Linked DNA regions of Caenorhabditis elegans. The protein of the gene in region 2 purifies or fractionates together with the protein of the main gene of each other region. This does not show direct contact. Each region holds a gene or a part of one and is shown on either strand. Other genes may lie near its edges.

What was found. The genes of interacting proteins can lie anywhere in the genome.
Region 1: the proteins of daf-14 (region 2) and daf-8 purify together in Caenorhabditis elegans (affinity purification with western blotting, with the first as the bait; one study listed by BioGRID). This does not show direct contact.

What each region holds. Positions count from the first base shown.
Region 1 is NC_003279.8:8,583,920-8,589,075, forward strand, and holds daf-8 (Smad protein daf-8), read right to left. Parts: upstream 3,589-5,156; 5' UTR 3,571-3,588; coding exon 3,478-3,570; intron 2,918-3,477; coding exon 2,441-2,917; intron 2,244-2,440; coding exon 2,044-2,243; intron 1,840-2,043; coding exon 1,447-1,839; intron 1,324-1,446; coding exon 1,040-1,323; intron 831-1,039; coding exon 637-830; 3' UTR 505-636; downstream 1-504. UniProt on the Caenorhabditis elegans protein: Probably a receptor-regulated SMAD (R-SMAD) that is an intracellular signal transducer and transcriptional modulator activated by TGF-beta-like daf-7 signaling.
Region 2 is NC_003282.8:10,248,851-10,256,371, reverse strand, and holds daf-14 (Smad-related protein daf-14), read right to left. Parts: upstream 5,746-7,521; 5' UTR 5,727-5,745; coding exon 5,644-5,726; intron 2,756-5,643; coding exon 2,697-2,755; intron 2,284-2,696; coding exon 2,142-2,283; intron 2,095-2,141; coding exon 1,944-2,094; intron 1,878-1,943; coding exon 1,365-1,877; intron 825-1,364; coding exon 777-824; 3' UTR 520-776; downstream 1-519. Other genes in the region: F01G10.9 (aECM cysteine-cradle domain-containing protein), read left to right, coding at 1-74, 255-329; F01G10.10 (BPI2 domain-containing protein), read right to left, coding at 6,697-6,811, 6,858-7,009, 7,402-7,500. UniProt on the Caenorhabditis elegans protein: Probably an atypical receptor-regulated SMAD (R-SMAD) that is an intracellular signal transducer and transcriptional modulator activated by TGF-beta-like daf-7 signaling.

The DNA.
Region 1 (5,156 bases), on a different chromosome or scaffold from region 2:
CCTCCTCCTTTCAACCGATCCTTTCACAAGTAAAGTGCTCCACTCTCGCAAGAAAAGGTTTTGATTTCACGCTCCAATATCAAAACGAAACTTTTTTTAAATACTAAATTACTTATTGAAAACAGATCACTGTAAAACTCTAAGCCACTTTCTGGATAAATAAAATTTCGATCTGAAACATTTTAAGCGTAACTGTGCACTACTTTCGACGGACGTAAAACTGCTCGGATAACTATTTTGATGATTTCCAAGGATTTTAGGGGGTTTATATTTAAGTGAATATCCTGGCAGCTTTTTGAAAGTGTTTTTTTTTTTGATAATATTAAATTTAATCCATCAAGCTCGATCGGAAAAAATCAGACCAAAATTACATTTCCAAGGATTCTAGAATATTTGGCTACTGTAAACACTTTTAAAGTTGACATAAGTCGTTTAAAAGCTGCAAAAAGAAATCTCGAGCAGTTCTAAAGCCCTCAAAAACAATGTAAAAATACACAGAAAAAGTTTAAAATCTAAATTTTTAAATAAAAAATTTTAAAACTCGTTTTGATGTTTTAGAGTAAAATAAAAACCTTTCTCTATCAACAAAATTGATCACACGCAAATTGGAGATTAGGATTTTGGCAAAGAAAGAAGCTAAGTTCTGGATGAACATATACGTGGTGGAGCTCCCATACAAGTGAGTACACTATCGACCCAATGCATCGGATTATTCAAATGAGCCTGAAACCAAACAGGCGATCGGAGGACGGTTGAACGACGATAGTGTTCTCCCCAACCTTTGCAGAACGAAACACGAACTGTGCACATTCGTGAGAGACAGTAGACGTCTGAAATGTTGGAAGAAAAAAAATGTAGCTGACTAGAAGGTTTGAGAATTCGTATTCTCCGAAAGTTGCATCGGTAAAAACTATACACCAAAAAATGTCAAAAACTTTTTATAAATTATTTTTAGTTGACAATTTTGATATATCGCACAATAGCCGTACTTTGGACGAAAAGTAATATGATATAATAGAAATTACTAATTCACTCTCACCTTGATATGTCTTCTCAGCTGCTGTTCTCAGCTGTTTGGAGAATAATCTCATGTCAAAAACTTTCATAGTTCCAGTTGGAGGCAACTTTGATACAGTATTCAATTGGAAACCATTCTTCATATTTGCACCGATTGACTGTACAAAAACAGGAATATTGCACAAATTCTCTACATAGACTTCACCAGCTAACAAGTAAAATCGAACACCCTTTCCAATGAGACCACGAACTTCGGCCGTTTGTGGAGAGCGGTTTGGATTGTTGTACCAACCAAGCGAGAAACGGCTGTAATGATGTTATTTTGATATTTACTTGAATTTATGTTTTAGTTCAGTGTACACTAGTGAATGTAGTTAAAATTCAGATGCGTGTAAGTTCTAGACCAGGGCTTCTGTCAATGATACAAACCTTCTGGTTTCTGAGTCAGTGCGACTAGCTGTAAATCCATCGATCAGGCAGTGATGCCCTTCTACATCGGCTTTCTCTCCAATCATCGTTCCTTCTTCATAATAAATTAATTTCAGCCAACTCGGCGACTCTTCATATTCTACACATTCATATATTCCAGCCTGTCGTGACAGATCTCCAAGTTCTAATGCCGAAGATCGATAGAGTGGTCGAGGTTCAATTGGTGTGATAGGCCGTCCATCTGCATACGTTGGCTTTCGGTTTCCATTGTTCTCTGATGAAAAATTCTCGGAATGCATGATGTCACTAACTTCGGAATCATCCATCATTTCTTGATCCAGACTTATTGTATCATTTCCGTTTGGAATAAACTCTCGAGGAGAAGCTGCATGACTGTAAATTTAAAGTTTTATAGATCTAAACTAATATTTCAATTTTTTCCAATATTCAACAGTTTCGTCGGCCCGACCGCCAAATTTAATTTTTTTTTCAACCTTTAGGTCGAATTTCGAATTCTACTTTCAGTTTAGCCAGTTCTTTAGATTGTTGAATCAGTATTGTAAAAACAAAAAAATTCCAAAAAAGTGAAATTCGTACCTAGCTGGAGATGAGAGTCCAGATCTATAATATCCGGGTTCCTCGTCGTCTTGTCGATTACTTTGTTGCAGTAACGATGCGAAAGATGATCCTAATGACATCGTGGTAGAGCTACACGGACTTCCATCAAAAGAGCCAAAATTTCCGTAATTCATATATTGAAAATCTCCGTTTTCAGCTGCATATCGATCATAGAGAAGCTGAAATTTTTATTTTTGAATGTGAGGGGGTGACAGTGGATGTTTTGTAGAAATACGTGCAAATATTTCAGTCAACGTTTTTGGTAAGTTTGCAAATTTCCAAAATTTCTAAAGAAAAAAAAAGATTAATTGCAACTTATTTACTGGATTTTGCATTTTGGAAAGAGTTCAAAAAGGGATATCATCTCTCAACAAACCTTAATTTCATCTCCTCTCATCGTCACATTTGGCACATCCCAACTTGCAACCACCTGTTCCTCTTTCAAATCCTTTTGATTCCAATCATCCAGTGCATCCTCAGTCCGAATCGGAGGTTCACCGTAATCCAATTCCTTATTTACAATAATTGGTGGAACTTGGCACGTCGGTAGTTCAACCCATCGATAATGATACGGATTCAGACAAACATTCCGACTATGGGAATTGAATGCATGTCGACACGTTAATATTGATTTCACTTGAGATTCATATCGAATAACCGGAAATCTGAATGCTCTCAAGACACACATGATAGCTCGTCCAAAGTTTCCAATGAGTTTCTCATTGTGTGCAGGACAGCATCGTGTTTTTGGATCACCTTTAATAACGGCATCGTAGAAAGCTTCAAAGCACTGGTGTTTTTTAGCTACTCTAGAGAGTAATCGGGTAACTTTGAGAGCCCAGTAGATTGTTCCCTAAAAAATAGTTGAGGATAGCTTGACACTTCAAATAGGGCAATTTTAAGGATTTGAATTTCTTAGGAAAAGTTTACTATAACAAAATTTAAAAAACAAGATATGGGCTTTTCTCTTTTCCTGTAATTTTCTCTTTATTTTTTTTTTGGATCTTTTCGAGTCTCCAACATACATTAAAACCTTTTGTCGTAAATATCCTTTCAGTTTCTTTAAGTATTACTATTTTTGAAAAAAAATTGTTTCCTGTTTTAAAAGAAAAGGCTAATTTGAGAGACACATTCTAAAATTAGAAAACGTATAAGTTAATGTTTATGTAGGTTGATTCTAAATATTTTAAAATAAAAATTCGCTAATATGTCTGGACATTTGATGTTTGATCAAGATACGGTATCTCTCAACTCTGCTCTTTTTTAAAGTTTCTTGTTCACTTACTTGCTCGCCGGCTGGCCTAGAATATGAAATTTAAAATTTGCAGATGGCTTTTTAATTTTTAAAAGTAGCCAGCGAGACTATTTGTGTTGAAAATTCAAAAAAAAAGTTTCAAATCTTCAAAAACATACATCTCCTTCAGTGATAATAGTTTCTTCTAACACTTTTTGAGCCATTGCCTCAAGTCTGGGATCAGTAGGTTCTGGTGAAGGAAAATCGTCCATTTTCGTAGTTTTAAAACTGAAATTTCGAAGAATTAAAAAAAATATGGGAGGAGATGTTAGGCTAGAATAAAATCCAAAAAAATGGGCCGAGCTTAAAAAGCAACGACCACAAAAAAGGACTGATTTGGGATAAAGAATAATAAATAGTACAGATGATTTTATATATGAAATTAATATTTTTCGTTGTGCATTGCCGAAATTCAAAAAAAATTTGAATCAGAAAACAGAATTATATCCAAAATGATAATAGAACCTTCTGGTAAGTCATAAGAGTCAGGTGAGCTACTCAAATGGGCGGAGTTTCAATATCTACATAGAAAGGCGAAATGAAAGAATTATGAAATTCAAGAACTCGGAATGAAAACTGGTATGAACGTGTAAAAAATGATAAGAAACAACAGTTTGTGATAAGATTTTTGTGTTGATCAGAATCGTCATCACCTATAAAATCAAGGAAAAATAGAGAGAGAAATGAAGAAAAATGAGAGGAAGTTTTCATTTGATTTATTCAACTTTTAAATGGATTCGAAGTTTTTTCGATATCAGGAACGCGGTTCCAAAATGATCGAAAATCTAGATATTTACCTGAATCTTGATTTTGTTTTATACAGAATTTTTCTGAACTCAATGAAGCCGATGACTCCTAATTAATTTATTCAAGTTTCGTTCATTTAGATATGACAAGGCATCACGAAGATCTCAAGACTCACCCGGCTTCTGATACGTGACCTAGAAATAGTTATAACTCGGCCAGCAATTTATCAAAAGCAAAAAAGTTGGGAGGAAAGTATAATTTCATCTTTTGAAATCGTTTCTCTTAAATTTTAGCAAATGTCCATTTTTAGAATTTCTTTGACTATTTTGAGTTTTTATTTTAAAAAAAAGTCCATTAATAGAAACTAACATAAGTACTACTAAGAAGGCGTCATATTGTTATTTTTGTTTCAGATGGATGTACGTCACTACTTTTTATTGAGGTGCTCTCATGAGGAACCAGAATAAATAAACTATTTTATAACACACTGTACCATTTCCAATTGTTTAAGAAATTAAAAAAATAGAATAGAACTCACAGAAAATCAGTTTTTTTCTGAATCTGGCGGCGAAAAAAGCCAAGATATGGACGGAACCTAATTTTGGGGTGTTCTCTAAGCAAATTTTGAACATTGATTTCGAATACTGAATGTTAGAAGAACGCCAAATTGACGGCGAATAGATTAGGAAAAAAAGGTTTTCAAAACAGTAATAATGTATTTATAAATTCTATAGAAGTATGACATTCTGAGAATATTATAGAAAAAGAGATTTCGTATTATTATTATTATCAAATCATTCTGTGAATCTTCGTATCATATGACTTACTATTAAACAACCAAAATGAGCTGAACCTAAAGCCTTGAAGACCACGAAGTGACCACAGATTAAATACTGGAGGAAGAAACAAAACAAGTAAATAATCATAACAATTTATCTATAAAATCCTTTCAAAAGTTGAAGTAAACAACATCCTTTGAGATATCATGATTAAAAAGAATGAATAATGTTTCTAAATTTGTATAATCCTCTTCCTCTTTTATATTATTTTT
Region 2 (7,521 bases):
TAACAAAACTGGCCAAGAGTTTTAGTATCAAAGATGTCTCGAAATGGGCGAGAGGCAACTGTCCCTTCCTGCAGGTAAATTTTAAAATATAGAAATCAAGGCTGCCACTACAGGTAGGCATTTAGGAGTGACTACGTGCCTATCTGTTACGTATTTTTGGTGCTCTTTTGTGAATTCCTGTTGTTGGTGTTACAACAGAGACACATTTAATCAAATCACTTTTTCACAATCATGTTAATTTTCCTTATTTGCAGATGTATGCTCCAAACGCCAGCTGTGAACTCATATTCCATTTTATTGATTCTTGTAAAAGCAAGAAATTCTTCTAAACTATGACTTAATTTTTCTCAAAATGTTCTCTGTTTTCTTTGCTCTTTTAGTTTTGTGCTCATCCTACATTTAAAGACATTTCCAACCCATACGGGATCATCTCATTTTATTTATTTCCACAATTGACACTTTTGTCGTCAGATTTCTAATTTATTGTTTCAGGTTCCTCTCCTTTCCACCAAAAATGTATTATTAATATTATTTTAATAATTTATTCGCATTCATAATCATTTCATCAAATTATTTAATTACATTACAAAGTTCTCAAAACAGAAGATTCTAATAAATAATTGAATTAAAGATTTTAGAAAAGCATTCAAGAGACTGGGAATTTTTTAACCAAAAGAAATGAAAATTAAAAACTGGGACAGAAATGGAAATATTAATCAAACGGGTACGCATTCGAATGCTTAGAACCAATCATTGAAGTGAAAATATTGAAGCAATCATGATCGGGATCCTATTTCCGGCCGTTCGTTATTAATACGGAAAACCTGAAGATTATTAATGGAACTTTAATTACTTGAAACAATTTTGTGTGTTATTTCAAGTGTTTAAATTTAAATTCAAATTCAAATTCAAAATGGTCTCAACTATGCCATACACTTAACAGTTAATTCCATTACTAGATCATATGTTGAATTTTTTGTGTTTTTGTTTTAATGATTGAAATAGTCATATTTTGTTTAATTATTTTATAAATAGAACCGGATAAGACAAATGTGAATATAATTATTAATTATTTGTCTTTCATGAAGTTTTTTAATTTATCTATTTATTTCGGAAACAAATATAGCCTTGATTCACCGAAAGAATCCAGGTGGCTAAAAAATCGATTCTTTAATCTTCAATGGAGATACTTTAAGCCTATACAAAAATTGCTAGCCAGTAAAATTCAGTAGTCGGCTCAGTGGTGTACAACATTTTCAGAGATCTTGGGTATTTCAGCTGCAGTTGGACCGCACTATCGGAAATTGTGTTTTAATATTATATTTTTAATTTAGGAAAAATTACATTAAAGTTTAAAAACTCACTGTATCATACTCATCAGCTGGCTCATGCAAGATAATTTCAATCCAACACGGTAAATTCACAACTTTCAAACGGGAATACGTTTCTCCGAATCCTTTACAGAAAGAGACTCTGATGTTGGAGAAGATTCTCATTCGTTCATCAGCCACCTCTTTTTCAGTTAAAGGTCCGAGAGCCAATGTTTTCTCCTGTTCAAACTGCTCCTTATCGAATATTTTCATTCTTTTTTGATCTCCTTTGTTTTGCAACCGAAACACATATTTCAGTGGCTTATTCAATGTCTGGTTCAGGAATGGGCATTGTACAAAAACAATTTGGTCAGTCAGTACAGTTAGCCAAAGTTCTCCATTTTCATATGCCAATTGAATTCCTGCTCCAACTGTGTTTCGGATTTGTGAGCTTTTTGAATTTCTCGAAGATGGTTGAGATGTAAGCGACATTCGGCACTCATCACTTGCTCCAGTTGCACCATCGATTGTAATTGTTGGGACTTTGGCTTCGAATGCTTTTCCTAGCTGAAAATATATCATTGTTATGCTATCCGTTTTTTGAAATTCTTTCTCAAATAATTTTGAACTTACTCGAACAGTCAGCTCGTAGTAAAATATGGTACACCACGGTTTTTCTTCTTTTGGATATTTGGGTTCAGGATCCAACATCTCGTTTCCAGTAGGACGTACTTCAACTACTGCCTTTTCAGGAGTTTTTGGTTTCAAAGAAGATTGGCTTGAGCTAAAAAAAGAGGTATGTGAATGTGTATAACTTTCAAATAAACGTACATATTTGAAAATGGAAACGGATCATTATTTTCATCAGTTGATGTTGACGGAACATTATAGCAATCAGGCATTGGAGCATCTTCCAACCAGTCGTTTATTGGCATGTTTGGATTATTGATGCTTGCCGGTAAGTGAACTTGATCTGTAATTTTTGTATATCAGTTTGAACAATAAAATAAAAGCTCAATTCCAAATGTTAAATTAGTCAGAAACTTGTTTCCCAAGTGATTGTGATCACGGTGACTCATATGGATGATGAGGGACTTAAGCTGGATAATTTTCGTTTTAGAACTTTCTGATTCATATTAAATCATATGACAAACCGGAAATAAATCGTCTGAAAAACATCGAAATCATACGAAATATTTTTAAAGATATTTTTCATGTTTATAATTGTTTTCTAACAAAAAATTGAAGCATATTTATATTTTATGTGATTTGAGGCATTCTGAGATCAGGAACTGAAAACGTCTGTTTTATAAATATATTTTTTGCAGTTATAGCCACTTCTGTCTAGTTTTCCAATAACTTTGTCATGTCTACAATTTGACTCACCTGGGTACATATAATTCCCCGCAGCCGCCCAATTTGTGGGTGTTGTTGTAGTTTGAAAACTGAAAAGTCGAATATTTAAAACGAGTTAAGAAAAACACAAAACAACAAGGAAGTCGGTTGGCTTTGATATTAATACAAAATGAAATAATTATGAGATAATGAGATCCTATAAGGAAGGGATTATCTAAGGATTACGAATATGAGGGTTGTTGGTGAAATTAGCTGACGTGAAAATAGAGAAAAAGTCAATTGAGTGCATAATAATGCCAGAATACCTATAGATAAGAAATAATGACGTCGTATTAGAGGTTTTGAAATCGGTTCAGTTAAATTTTTTTGCTCTCTATCAGCATGCTATAGAAGGAAGATAGTTTTGGGATATTCATTTGATAAATAAATATAAAAATAAATGTACTGAAATCATTCGATTTTCTAAGTGAAAAACACAAAATCATTTAAAAAATATGTTCACTTTTTCTTCAGGTCTAGTTTCCTTATTGTCAGAGTCTAGCAACGTGTCGTCATAACAGGTGTATTAGAAGAAATTAAAAAGTCGACTAGACTTGTTATAGGGCAAGTCTCACGACCTTAGATTGTTATCTCTCATAAGAGTGTACGTGAAGTTGCCAGACAGGTGCTGTCTCGTTCTTGAAAAAAGTGTATTCAACTATATATCTAATGTTAGATAATGTATGATGCGGTAAATTAAATGTTGCTACTTAACTTTTTTTCATATTCGGGAACGAACTATGGTTCCTTTTTAAAAACTAGATCTGGCAGAATAGAACCAAATATAGAGTTTTTGAAGAAAATTGAAATAAATATATGTATATGAGTATTGGAAACAGATCAAGAACTTTCACCTTTGTTGACGTCAGTCATACTCTTTCTTTTTGGAATTGCGCTCGTTTCTGACATCAGTTTATAAAAGTCGACGGTTAAAAAAATAGTATTGGAACTAGAAGAGACGTGAGAAATATTTTGAGAACTAGATAGGAAAAACGAGAGAGGAGAGGAGCGAGAGTGAGCGTTAGGGTATGTATGTGTGTGTTTTCTGTCACAACAAATGTAAGTGAAAGGAGGAAAGAAATGGGAAAAAAGAGAGAAAAAGAGAGAGAAGAGAGAGAGAGAGAGAGAGAGAGAACGGAGAGAAATAGAGAACGAATATACTCAGAGCATCGGCAACACGTGAGCTTCTGCTCCTAACAGGAAGAAAAAAGTTGGAGTGAGCGCGTAATAGGGAACGATAGCACGTGATCGATAAATAGAAGGAAATGGAAAAAAAGACGAGGTTGAGAACGTCATCTGAATTGTATTTTCAATGACGACTACTTTGAATGAATAAGAGAAATGAACAAAAGAAGGTTAGGGAAAGATGACAAAAGGTTCGTTATTACCGTTCGGAAGAAGAATAGTTCGAGGAGGGGTAGTTACGAAATAAAATTCGAAATATTTTTAGTTACCCTCTGAAATTTTAATTTTTTCATCTTTCCAACAAATTAATGTTTTTCAACATTGGAAATTTCATTGAATAAAAATTAATAAATTTAAAAAAATCGATAAAAAAATCCATACCGAAAACCCCTAAAATAGTGTGACTCTAGAACACTGCAACGTGGCTCTGTCTACAAAGTGTGGTCCATCTGTTGCGCTGTGCTCAAATATTTGCCGATTGCAGGAAAAGAGACGAGAACAGTAACACGAAAAGGTCAGATAGATCAAGAAGATATTATTCGTTTATTGGGTTAAGAGATCAGATTCATAAAAGGCTCGTAGAGATAAACAAATTATCATAATTTTCGGCTTTAGATGTTTGTTTGATTGTGCCTGTTGGAGTCTAAACTTCGAATTATTTACAAAAAATTTTTTTTGAAAAATTTAAAAAGAGAACATTGTGGTTTTTTCCCTATTTTTCATCAAATTTTCCTGAATTTCTTGGAATATTTGGGGACTTCTTTCATAATTTTTTAAAAATTGCTAGGAATTGCAAATTGAGTAACAAACCACGATACTGAACTTTTGGGGAAACTTCAAAATGTAAATGAGGAAAAGACAGGGGCAAATACAATAATTGTGTTTTGATTCCGGTGAACTCAAGAAGAGCGGGTACGTTGCAAACTACGAGAAAGAGAGGTATTTATTGTTTCCGCCCCAGGACATCCGTTGTAAACTTTTTGGTTCAAAAGATCAAGACACAGAAATGCGTAGACAGGGCGGAGAGAGAAATATGCATCTTGTCTTATAAAAGTCGGAACGAGTCAGTCAGGTTAACAATATATTTCCATCTCACTGTCTACGGGGGAAGTGATAGTGTGCTGGACAAATATAAAACTTATTTGGTTTGAAACGTTTTGTTGAAGTTACTGATATAACTTAGTGGTGTTGCCTAATAATTGGAACATTCTAGGTTTTTTTTCAAGCCGAGAAAACAGTTCAATTACTTGTTTTTTGTAAAATTGAGTTTAAAGTTTCAATAGAGTAGAGCAGTCCAGAAAAGTCAGACAGATTTTTGAAATAAAAAGCTTGAATCATCAAAAATAGCTTCCAGTTTGTAAAACCCTGTCAACATTGGTATATATATTGGACTAAAAATAGTCAGTCACCTTTAATTTACTTTTGTTATAAGTTTACATAACTAAAATTGCATTGAAAAAAGTTTTGAGCGACTTTTATAATAGTTTGTTAACAGCCGGGAGTTAGGAAACTATTTGACACGGAAAAATTACAAATTATTTTTCATTAAAAAACAGAAGTAAACATAATTGAATGTGACTATTATCGGAAAAATCACGTGGTGTCAGGCTGTTCCATGTCCCATATGATCTACAATAAATGCGGGAATTGAGACGCAGAGACAACTGTTATTGCACGGTTAAGACATCTTGACACATCGTAAAAAGTACGATTATAAATGTTATCAGCATCACCCGTTTAAAAACTTACTTACCCAAACTCGGCAAAATCGTCCATGATTCCTAACTCTCCTTGGTTGTTAAAAAGTGATCCAAAATCTTCTTGTTCGTTGGACATTATAAATGTTTCTGCAAAAAAATGTGTGTTCGAAACAACAAATCTCCAAAATATAAACGGAAGGGTGCCGATTTATGGATTGTTTGAATAACAGGTAACAAATCAAACATCTACTACACAATTTTTGCACTTTGAATGAAAAAGTCAAAAACAATTGTGTGAAAAGCGAGACTTTAGATGATCAAGTCACATCCAAAAGTATATAGAAAGAGTAGAAAATGAGCAGAAAAACATAGAAACGCAATGACTCCATGGTGATGGTTTTATGTGAAGTGGCGTGACTAGGAAGGGTTCAATATGAGACAAATAAATACGAATTGACATTACTAAACGATGCACATCAGGTTGTTAAGCCAGTAATAGACCCAATTGTACCTTTAAAAACGACTAGAATTTTGATCATAACAAATTATTCGATAGTTGGACAACCCTCGATTGCAAATAATTTGGATCCAGTTTTGAAGATTCCCTGTAATTCAGCAAAATAATATTCTGTCAGATTGAGATTAATGGTGGAGCTTGGCCAGTAGAGAAATGATTAAAAACCACAGAAAAAGAAAAATGAGAAAAGTACATTGGTAATGTGAACGAAAGTTAAACGTTGAAAAGATAAGTTTATTTGACGATCAAGAAGATATTGAAATGAATGATCACGAATGAAATGATACCTGTTCGATTGAAAGTATTGTTTGAATTGTTGAATAGAATCTCTATGAAAGACTTGACACGTTCAATCGAAACTCTCATATTATACATTCGACAGAAAAAACAATTTTTGGTCCCTTGCAAATATTTAATTTTATTTGCAGTTTTGCAAATTACGGAGATGAAAACTGTCCTTATTTCTTCAAACAGTTTCGCAGATAATAACTTATTTATTATATATTCATCAGTATTCTTTTCTCGAAATGTACATATAAACCGGTAACTAAATATCGATATTTCTGTTTTTTGGTAACTTTGTCATTCATCACAATGGTCCACGTAACGTTTTTCCAACAGCTCCTCTGACAAGACTTCCTGCGTATTCCTCGTCAAGTTTGAAATATGTTGAAACTTTCAGATAACGATCGTGGAAAGTTAATCTGAAATTATAATAAATTCATATTATAGAGCTCGTTTCAAACTCACTTTGGACTCTTCAGAATTACACCTTGCATGGTTGGCAGAGCAATTCCCATTTGAAGAATTTCAGTGAGAAGCTTCTCTAAAAATTCAGCACCAAATAATCCCAAGTCGGAAAATGAATCTTGGTCGACATCGTTGATTTTTGTTTCAAGGAGCTGAAATATGACAATTTGATTAGCACCTCAAAACTGAAACATCCAGGCCGGCTTCCAAAAAAATAAATTGGTGACAATTTTCTTGGTGAAATATCATATAATCGCATTCAAGTCTTACCCAAGTTCAAATTTTTCCATCTTTAACCCAAAATGTTTTAAACTAGTGTGGAAGATTGGGATAGATTGGGCCTATTTACATTTTACGTAACCTCTTTATTTTACAATTTTGAGCTTTCTGGTGATTTTAAAGGCCTATTAATAATTTACGTTTCGATTAAATTACCATTTGTAAAAACACATAAAAACATATAATATTTGGCGTACGTCGTACGACTTGAAATTACATAGCTTCAGTAAGAATGATTCATAGATGATTGGATGAAACATCTCACCTTAAAATCCAAATTTTCAATCGTTGAGTTTCCAACAATAATTGATCCATTGATCCACAAGTTTACGTTTGCAGTCATTGTCGTGTCAGCTTTTAGGATCTTTACGAAAATAAAAGGAAT